2 linked regions of the Nothobranchius furzeri genome follow. The protein of the gene in region 2 purifies or fractionates together with the protein of the main gene of each other region. This does not show direct contact. Links are inferred from orthologs where the notes say so. Each region holds a gene or a part of one and is shown on either strand. Other genes may lie near its edges. The genes, in order: eapp and ecd.

What was found.
Region 1: the proteins of ecd (region 2) and eapp purify together in Homo sapiens (affinity purification with mass spectrometry; 3 studies listed by BioGRID and IntAct, counting the BioPlex papers as one, with this or other methods). This does not show direct contact. The link is inferred for Nothobranchius furzeri from reciprocal best matches to the Homo sapiens genes ECD and EAPP.

The regions. Positions count from the first base shown.
Region 1 is NC_091758.1:7,753,936-7,758,255, forward strand, and holds the start of eapp (E2F-associated phosphoprotein), read right to left. Parts: upstream 3,001-4,320; 5' UTR 2,893-3,000; coding exon 2,813-2,892; intron 1,264-2,812; coding exon 1,085-1,263; intron 907-1,084; coding exon 793-906; intron 726-792; coding exon 617-725; intron 540-616; coding exon 411-539; intron 1-410. UniProt on the Homo sapiens protein: May play an important role in the fine-tuning of both major E2F1 activities, the regulation of the cell-cycle and the induction of apoptosis. Promotes S-phase entry, and inhibits p14(ARP) expression.
Region 2 is NC_091752.1:30,506,518-30,510,874, forward strand, and holds the start of ecd (protein ecdysoneless homolog), read left to right. Parts: upstream 1-1,354; 5' UTR 1,355-1,503; intron 1,504-1,601; 5' UTR 1,602-1,606; coding exon 1,607-1,811; intron 1,812-2,084; coding exon 2,085-2,202; intron 2,203-2,287; coding exon 2,288-2,375; intron 2,376-2,505; coding exon 2,506-2,684; intron 2,685-2,878; coding exon 2,879-3,071; intron 3,072-3,160; coding exon 3,161-3,289; intron 3,290-3,400; coding exon 3,401-3,526; intron 3,527-3,634; coding exon 3,635-3,720; intron 3,721-3,992; coding exon 3,993-4,096; intron 4,097-4,357. Other genes in the region: protein FAM149B1, read right to left, coding at 629-675. UniProt on the Homo sapiens protein: Regulator of p53/TP53 stability and function. Inhibits MDM2-mediated degradation of p53/TP53 possibly by cooperating in part with TXNIP. May be involved transcriptional regulation. In vitro has intrinsic transactivation activity enhanced by EP300.

The sequences.
Region 1 (4,320 bases), on a different chromosome or scaffold from region 2:
AGACTCCAAGCTTTCAAATGATGTGTAATGAGTATGTGCACATAGAGCAAGACGCTGATTTGACATGAACATTAGCAAAGTCCCATCTGAGAGACTAATTCATGGCATAAAAAATATTGCTGATAAAAAAAGACTGGCCCATCGCCGACAGTCCAGTCGCCCAACCTTACACTACACTGATGCATGAGTCAGAGGCAGCTAACACGCAGCTAAAATGATGAAACTCCATTGTTCCCTTTGTGCTCTGATACATGCGTGACACTGTAAATGATATGGACCCATCTGTGATGTGTCGTGCACCCTAGGGAACATTAGTGCAACCCGTTGTGATATTGCCATACAACTTTGTTTTTGGTTCATGCTAGCTGACACAATCAACAAGAACACACAGCAGGATAGTTGTGCCTGACCTCTGACAGTCCAGGCAGAGCGTCGTCATGCAGGCGGGACAGTTGAGAACAGCATCACTGTTGGGTAAACACCGAGGTTGGCCGGATTTGGACCGGGAGGCTGCATTTGGTTGTTTTCTGCTGTTATACCTGAACAGGAACAGAAATGGGTAAACGGCCTACAAGAAGACAAAAAAAGTACTAGTGGCAGTGTTTTACAGAACTACCGTCTGGCGTCTACCCAAGCCTGGTCCCTGTCATCCTCGTCTGGGTCATACAACAGCTCATCATTGGTAGGAACTACACGCTGTCTCCGCTTCCAGCTGGTAGAGCTGCCTGTAACAAACAGGTGAAATTAACCAAAATCAAAGTGAAGATGAAGTCGTGTAAAGTGACGTCGTACTTGGTGTGTCCTCGTCCTCTGAGTCAGAATCAAAGTAAACTTCGTCATACATCGGTGGATTGGGAACACTGGAACCTCCTACGCCACCGGCACCTGCTCCTTCACCACCGCTGTCTGAACAAAGAGAAACTTCATCACCACCACTTAAACTCTCAGGAATGATTTCATAGCAGTCGCGGAGGGCCACAATGATTATTTAATCACACACAATCATTAGTTGCCACGTCCAAAACAGGACACAATTTCCTTGGTCCAACTAAACTAGTTATAATAACATTTGTTGGTGTCCTACTAGCTGCTGGTGCCCAGGTTCCCTCCATGTTCCTGATGGTGGAGCTGAGCTCCGTCTCCATTTCCTTTTCAAAGTCATCCTCACTGGACGACTCGCTCTCCCCCGTCAGATACTCTCTGATCAGCTTCTTCTTCTGCTCTGCTGTCCCGTTCAGAAGCACATCCAGCTCATCCTCTGAACTGAAACACAACCACAAGAAGAAAATAAAAAACCTCAAATGTTTGGTCTGAGATGACCAGGGATGTGTACTTTTGAAATTCTGGCGATACGATACATATCACGATACAGGGGAGACGATACGATATATCAAGATATATTGCGATACATTCAGTCAGACGTTACAAGCAATTTTTTTTACTGAATTTATTGTAAGAATGTTTAACAGTCCAAACTGATACGTAACATGTTTAACATGAGGTATCTGAACCATGATGGAGGGATTTACATTTCAATGGTGGAAACAAAACCTGTTGCACACTGCTGCAAACTAGCGGGCGGCGATTAAATTGCACAAAACGAAAAGAAAATACACAAATGTTTGCATGTAAATTCTTTCAAGAATTAGATACACGGCTTTTGAATATCGATGTAATATTGCTGGAAAAAATATCACAATATATTGCCATATCGATATTGTCTTACATCCCTAGAGATGACTGAAAATCTACCCGACAAAACAAATGAGCAGCACTGGTGCTGCATCCCTTATTTTAACTATTACTACACAAGTGATTGACAGCTGCTGTCCGTCTCCATCTTCCGTTCCCATCAAAGTTATTTAAAATAAAAACAAGTTGAGTTTATAAGCTCGTCTGTTAGTAGCGATAACCACCTTACAGCAATACCAACAAACTAAGCACAATATAAGGCTACAAACTAGCTTCTTTTGGACAAACTGTTCCCTTCACTTCCACCACGAAGAAAGAGGTGTTCCAGTGAGTAGTATGACATCACATGCAACGGGAAAATATTTCAGCCAAGTAACTCTATGAGTCCAGGTCACATAAAACAGAAACACCAGAGCAGAACAACCAGATAATGCTCGGGGCATTGTGGCCTTGGGGTCTTGGATTCAGTGGGATAAGGTCTTGAGTTCTTCTGAGAGAGTGAATCTGTTAGCGGACTGAGTATGTACTAGCATCTCTTCTCGTCGACAGTGTTTTAATAATACTGTATAAAAGTTGTGTTGAGTTTCATCTGGACCACAGTGTACAAGTCTGCTCTATTATTTTTTTAACAAGATGTACAAAACTCTCGTTCTAGTTTTGTCGTAAATTAACCCAAGAAAACGAGTTTCTAAAAGCCCGTGTGGGTTCAAACCAAGCAGCTTAAATCCATGTTCATTTCCATGGATCATAATAAACAGGCTGTTTGAACCAGTAAAGGGACGAATCACCAGTTAATTTAAAACACCAACCTCACCTTAACGCGCCTCAACGCTGTTTCAGTTGTGATCATTTTGACCCTCTTTTTTATTTTAGAACGATTGCTCACAAACAGATGTCACATAAGATAGAAGGCAACATGCTTTACTCGCGTTTATACCAACATCAATTACGTTTATGAACAGTTTGTTTACATTCGCATAGTTTTGATCAGGCTTTGATGAGCCACCTATGTCCGATGCATCCACCACACACCATTTGAGCTGATGTCTAGTTCATGTAGAACACCGGAGATGCTAGCCACGATGCTAATGTTAGAAACCGTAGTTTATTTGATCCCTACCTGCTCGCTGCCCGCTCCTCGTCACTTGGCTCTTCGACTTCATATGAGTCAAAGTCCTGTGATTTATTCAGCATGTTCATTCTGACGGCTGAAAGTTTAACTATGGGAACATAATTACTTCTACGTAGTGACAGAAAACGACTAGTTCTATGTCACCTTTCCACTTGGTGGAAAACCAACTCCAAACTACCCTAGCGCCCTCTAGTGGACTGGAGGGTTGAGGCAGTTTTTTTTTAAACTGTTTTGTCCGGGAGTCGAACTGCGTGGGTTCGATTCCTGCTCAGTGCGAATACAAAAATAGAAATGTATGCGAAATCTGCATAATAACACTAATTATTACGTAAATAATTTTTCACAATTACCACTTTAAATTTAATTATAATTGTGATGAAGAACCACTAAGCTGTGAAATATATTTGTGATAATACACATGTAAAATTATAGAATATTTATGAAAAATTACATCTGTGTTGAAATATATTTGTGATGTTATCAATGGTAAATGGCCTGTATTTGATATAGCGCCTTCTAGAGTCATGGAACCCCTCAAGGCGCTTTACAACACAATCAGTCATTCACACACACATTCACACACTGGTGGGGAAGAGCTACGATGTAGCCACAGCTGCCCTGAGGCGCACTGACAGAGGCGAGGCTGCCGAGCACTGGCGCCACCAGTCCCTCCCACCACCACCAGCAGGCAACGTGGGTTAAGTGTCTTGCCCAAGAACACAATGACAGCGACAGACTGAGCGGGACTCGAACCTGCAACCTTCCGAAAACATATGTAATAAATGTATCTGTGTCCAAGATCATAAAAACATTAAAAGATTTAAAGTGTTTTTCGTTTATATATATATATATATATACATATATAAATACATATATACATACATATATATGTATATATGTGTGTATGTACATATTTATACATATACATATATATATATATAAATATATAAATGTATGTATATATATATATATATACATATATATATATTTATATATATATATATATAAATATATAAATGTACATACATACATACATACATACATACATATATATACATATATATATATATATATATATATATATATATATATATGTATATATATATATATATATATATTTATATATATTTATATATATATACATATATATATATATATATATATATATATATATATATATATATATATACATATATATATATATATATATATATATATATATACATATATATATACATATATATATATATATATATATATATATATATATATATATGTATGTATGTATGTATGTATGTATATATGAAACAAAAGAAGAAGTCTCAAAAGTCTTTAAAAAGAAAAATCCAAAAGTAGAGAGTGCATGTATATATTAGTTAACAACAGCCTAATGCAGCAGCACACCAGCAAAAACAATGTTAACATTTCACGGCATTACGGTAAAAACTAAATCCTGTACCAACTTAATCCCCCTAAACAAGCTGTAATGTTTTAAT
Region 2 (4,357 bases):
GGCCCAGACCGTAGAGTCAAAAAATAAGACACATCTCGAAAGCATAAGTCTGCATTTATATTCTTTAGCTGATGACCATGAACCAAAAATCAATTCAAAAAGGCTTTAAAGTTGTATGTATGTATGTATGTATGTATGCATTTATTTATTTTGTGTGTTACTACTAAGGATCTTTCTCACAGTTTTATAAAAAGGAGCCAATGATCCATTGAATTCCTTTGCATCAGTCATGGATCTAAGGTCAAGGTAGTGAACAGAATTAAGTTTCTAGGAATCAATACTACACACGCAGCCACGGTCCTTAAGCATTATAAATAAATAAAAAACAGCCCGGAAATGACTGTGCAGACATCTAACAGTGGTAATACAATGGGCAATCAAACCCAGCTAAAACACAATTAAATGTTACAATGGGTCATTATTATGGTAAATACTAATCTTCTGTAAGCCCAAGAAATTTTTCTGAAGAAAAACAACTGACATAGTAAACTATATAGATTGAATATTGTGTGACTCAAGCAGCTAAAAGTCAGATCAGCTCAGTAGTAACTCGCTGGAACACCACACACACACAAACAACATATGTAGATTTAAGCCGCAGGGGGCTGAAGCAACATTTGGTACTCACATCTCAAGTTTGTGCGATACAGGTTTTCTGTTGTATCGTGAAATCATTCTCCTTTCTCTCCGTTTTATGGGCTCAAGCCCTCGACTCCCATCCTTGCCTCTGCTTCTTGGACTCTATGTGAGAAGCAGACGAGCCTCACCATCCTCGATCGGTAGTCCGCAAGACAAAAGACACGCTCTTTTTATCTGTTGAGGGGAGGAGGCTACGCTAAAAAGAGCTGAGAGGCGTTGATGCGACCGTGACATGCAAACAGGGCACAGGTGGTGTTATAAAACTTCCGCAAATATGTTAACCATTAAGTTAGACTGTCTACACTAGGTACTAATCACGTTTGTCCGGAAGTTATGTAGCGATCAGGCTAATAGCTTAGCATTAATGTGTGTATACATGCTAGCATTAGCACCGACGAAAACAACAGCGCGGCTGTCATGGATACGCAGCCTCTTAACCGCGCGGGTTCGCGGGAAATGTATTTCTGAAGAACGTGTAACGCGTTCTTCACAAATCTGTTTTCCTACATTTCCCAGACATCTCTCCGGCGATGTGGTTACGTCTCTGAAATGTTTCCGTTCGTAATAATAAGAAATCATTCAGCGTATGATTTATCAGTTAATTTACTAAGTTAAAATTATTTATCAATAATAATTAAGTAATTAATATACGGTACAAAGGTTAATTTTTAAGTGAGATATTTTATAACGTACATACATTTGAAACCGGAACTTCATCGAAAGAAATGTGAGTGTCGACTACAAATTGTGGACGGACCTAAACAGTCACTGATGGCGTGCTAGCAACGTCAGAAAATACCAAATTTCTTCAGTTCTGGTTTGCAGAGATTTAAAATTAAAAGGACCTTTTACATGCACGACAAGGTACATTTAACTGACATATTTACGTCTTGGTGAGACTAGCTCTCCCCAGACATCTCCTTTATTCAGTAAATTAATCATTTTTTCTTTTCTTTTATCAGCTACAATGGATGCTCTGCAGAAAAGGATGATTCAAGAAGATACGGTTCAGTACAAACTATTCTTGGTCCAGTCAAATGGTTTATCTTCTCAGCAGACTGAAGAACGCCTAAAATGCTTGACAGAGGAGATTTTGGCTAAATTAGCTCCACTTTTGGTACAGTATATCTGGCAACATCAGCCATTCAGCCTCAGATTTCATTCAGAGAAAGGTAAGATTTAATCAGCTGCACTTAGATGATGACCTATCAGGGTGTGCTAAAACAAAGTGTATGGTAATCTATCTGACGGGTCAACTGGCTCATCAAAGTGTCATACATCTTTTAAAATGTATGATCTGATAGCGTATGCATGTCTGAAAAGCCTTGTGTTGTCAGATAGGCATACACTGTAATACGCACTTGCCAATCTGTCAATGTATGGTGATTAGACAGAACACCTGTTTATAACGCAATGTAACCATCAAATCTCACGTGTCCTGATAGGAAATATTCCTGCTCACATTGGAGGCAGCAGTCAGTTTGGAGACAACGTTGAGGACGAGTGGTTTATTGTTTACCTCTTGAAGCAGATCACAGAAGTTTTTCCAGAGCTTGCAGCCAGGTGAGACACTATAGGGTCTCAGTGTTACTGTTGCAACAGAAATGTGTTCTTGCTGCATACAACTCTATGCTGTTTGTGTGTGCAGGGTTGAGGACAACGATGGGGAGTTTATTCTGATCGAAGCTGCTGATTACCTTCCAAAGTGGTTGAACCCAGACACGAGTGAAAACAGGGTTAGCCCTTCTGATGAAATGGGACATAATATTGTGTGATTCGTTATAGCTGGATATTGGTTGAGAATTCATGTGAAAGACACTTTAAAATGCAAATTTTCCATTTGACTTTGGCTGCATTTCTTTACAGGTTTTTCTTTACAAGGGAGAGCTGCACATCCTTCCTTGCCCCTCCAAACTAAGTCCAGTGGGCTTCCCAGTTGATGTTGTTCCCAGTGTGGCAGAAGCCATAGAACTACTCTCCACTCATCCAGACTCCTGTCAGGCCAGCCCTAAGATATGCTCAGCTCTGAACAAGAGAATAAAAGGGTGAGAGGGTTTGAAAGAACACCACTGCTCTTTGGTATCTAATAGCTATTAGCCTCGTAAATGTTGTTGACACAATCTCTGCATTCCTTCTGTGCAGGAAACACATTATACCATAGCAACACGGGGAACATCAGCATGGCTCATACAAGCCCTGTAAAGTTTTAGAAAAAACATTATCTCTGTTTTTCATCTAGGTATCCAGAGAAGATCCAGAGTAACCTCCACCGGGCTCACTGCTTCATACCTGCAGGGGTAGCCACTGTTCTGGCGCAGCGTCCAGACCTGGTTGCTCCTGCGGTTTCAGCGTTTTATCTGCGGGATCCGGTGGATCTACAGGCCTGTCGAAGCTTCAAGACTTTTCCTCCTGATACGAGAATCCTCACTTTGGTGAGTGCACAAAAACACTCGTGAGTGCATAACTTTTTTGTGAAATGTTGCCTTTAATTGAAACCTGGAACTTGATATTTATTCTTTAGGTGACGTTCACCCGCTGCCTTTATGCACAGCTGCAGCAGCAAGATTTTATCCCAGATCGGAGGAGCGGATTTAGCCTGCCTCCTCGCTCTCATCCTCAGTACAAGGCTTATGAGTTGGGCATGAAACTGGTGAAGCATATTTTGTTTGTTTGTTCTTTTGCTGTTTTTGCAACAAAATATATGGATAACTTGTGTTTGGAGTCTTGTAGGATGTTTTTTAACTGTGCATCCTTCTCTCAGGCCCATGGCTTTGAGATCCTGTGCTCTAAATGCAGACTGCCGTCCTCGGAGCCAAACGCGCCAGTAAGCTGCAACCCCCAGTGGAAAGGCTTCTTGGAGAGCCTGAAAAAGAACGACTACTTCCAGGTGTGGTGCACTATTTTGTATTTAAATTAAAAGCAGACACTTGGAAGAGCAGCATGCTCAGCGATTCGCTACCATACAGTGATTCAGTGCCATTGCTGTCTAACGCAGGGAGAGCTGGAGGGTTCGGTACGTTTTAAAGAACGCTTAAGATCAGCAGAAATTTTCTTCAAGTACTCCGTTGTCTCAAAGTCAAGGTGAGAAGCTATCTTGTGTATGAAAATGTGTTAATCAAATGAAGTATGTTTTGCACAGGCATACTCTAGGCTGGCCACTCAAATGTGCAGTTTGATCTCAGCACACATGTGGCCCACCTGAGTTTTTAGCTCAGGTAGGTGGTGCCTGATAAAGTAACGTTCAAAACTGGGCTCTTTGTTTCCTAACAGAATGTTGCATCATGCAGTAGAGACCATAGCTACCTTTCATATGCCAGCGCAGCGGTGTGAACGTGCTTGATGTGTGTTTTCAGTCCTCTGTCCCCTGGGGAGGAAGTTGTTGAGGTGCTTCACAGCAGTCCTCCGTTCGACTTGGAGGAATTGAAAAAACAGCAGTCACAGCTTCCCCAAGAGGACAGTGAGTAGAAACGATAAACGATGGAAAGTCATTCTTAAGACGAGCAGATTTTTTTGCTTGAATGGGTTTAAGTTGCCCCTTGGTTAATTGGTGATGAAATTTCACATAAAAAAAAGGAAGGAAGGAAAATCGCCGCTGGCAGCATTTGAAGGTGCTGGTATGTTCATGGTTAATGTTTCACTTGTAACTTTGTGTTTCTCTAACCTCTGCTACTTCTTACACACACACACACACACACACACACACACACACACACACACA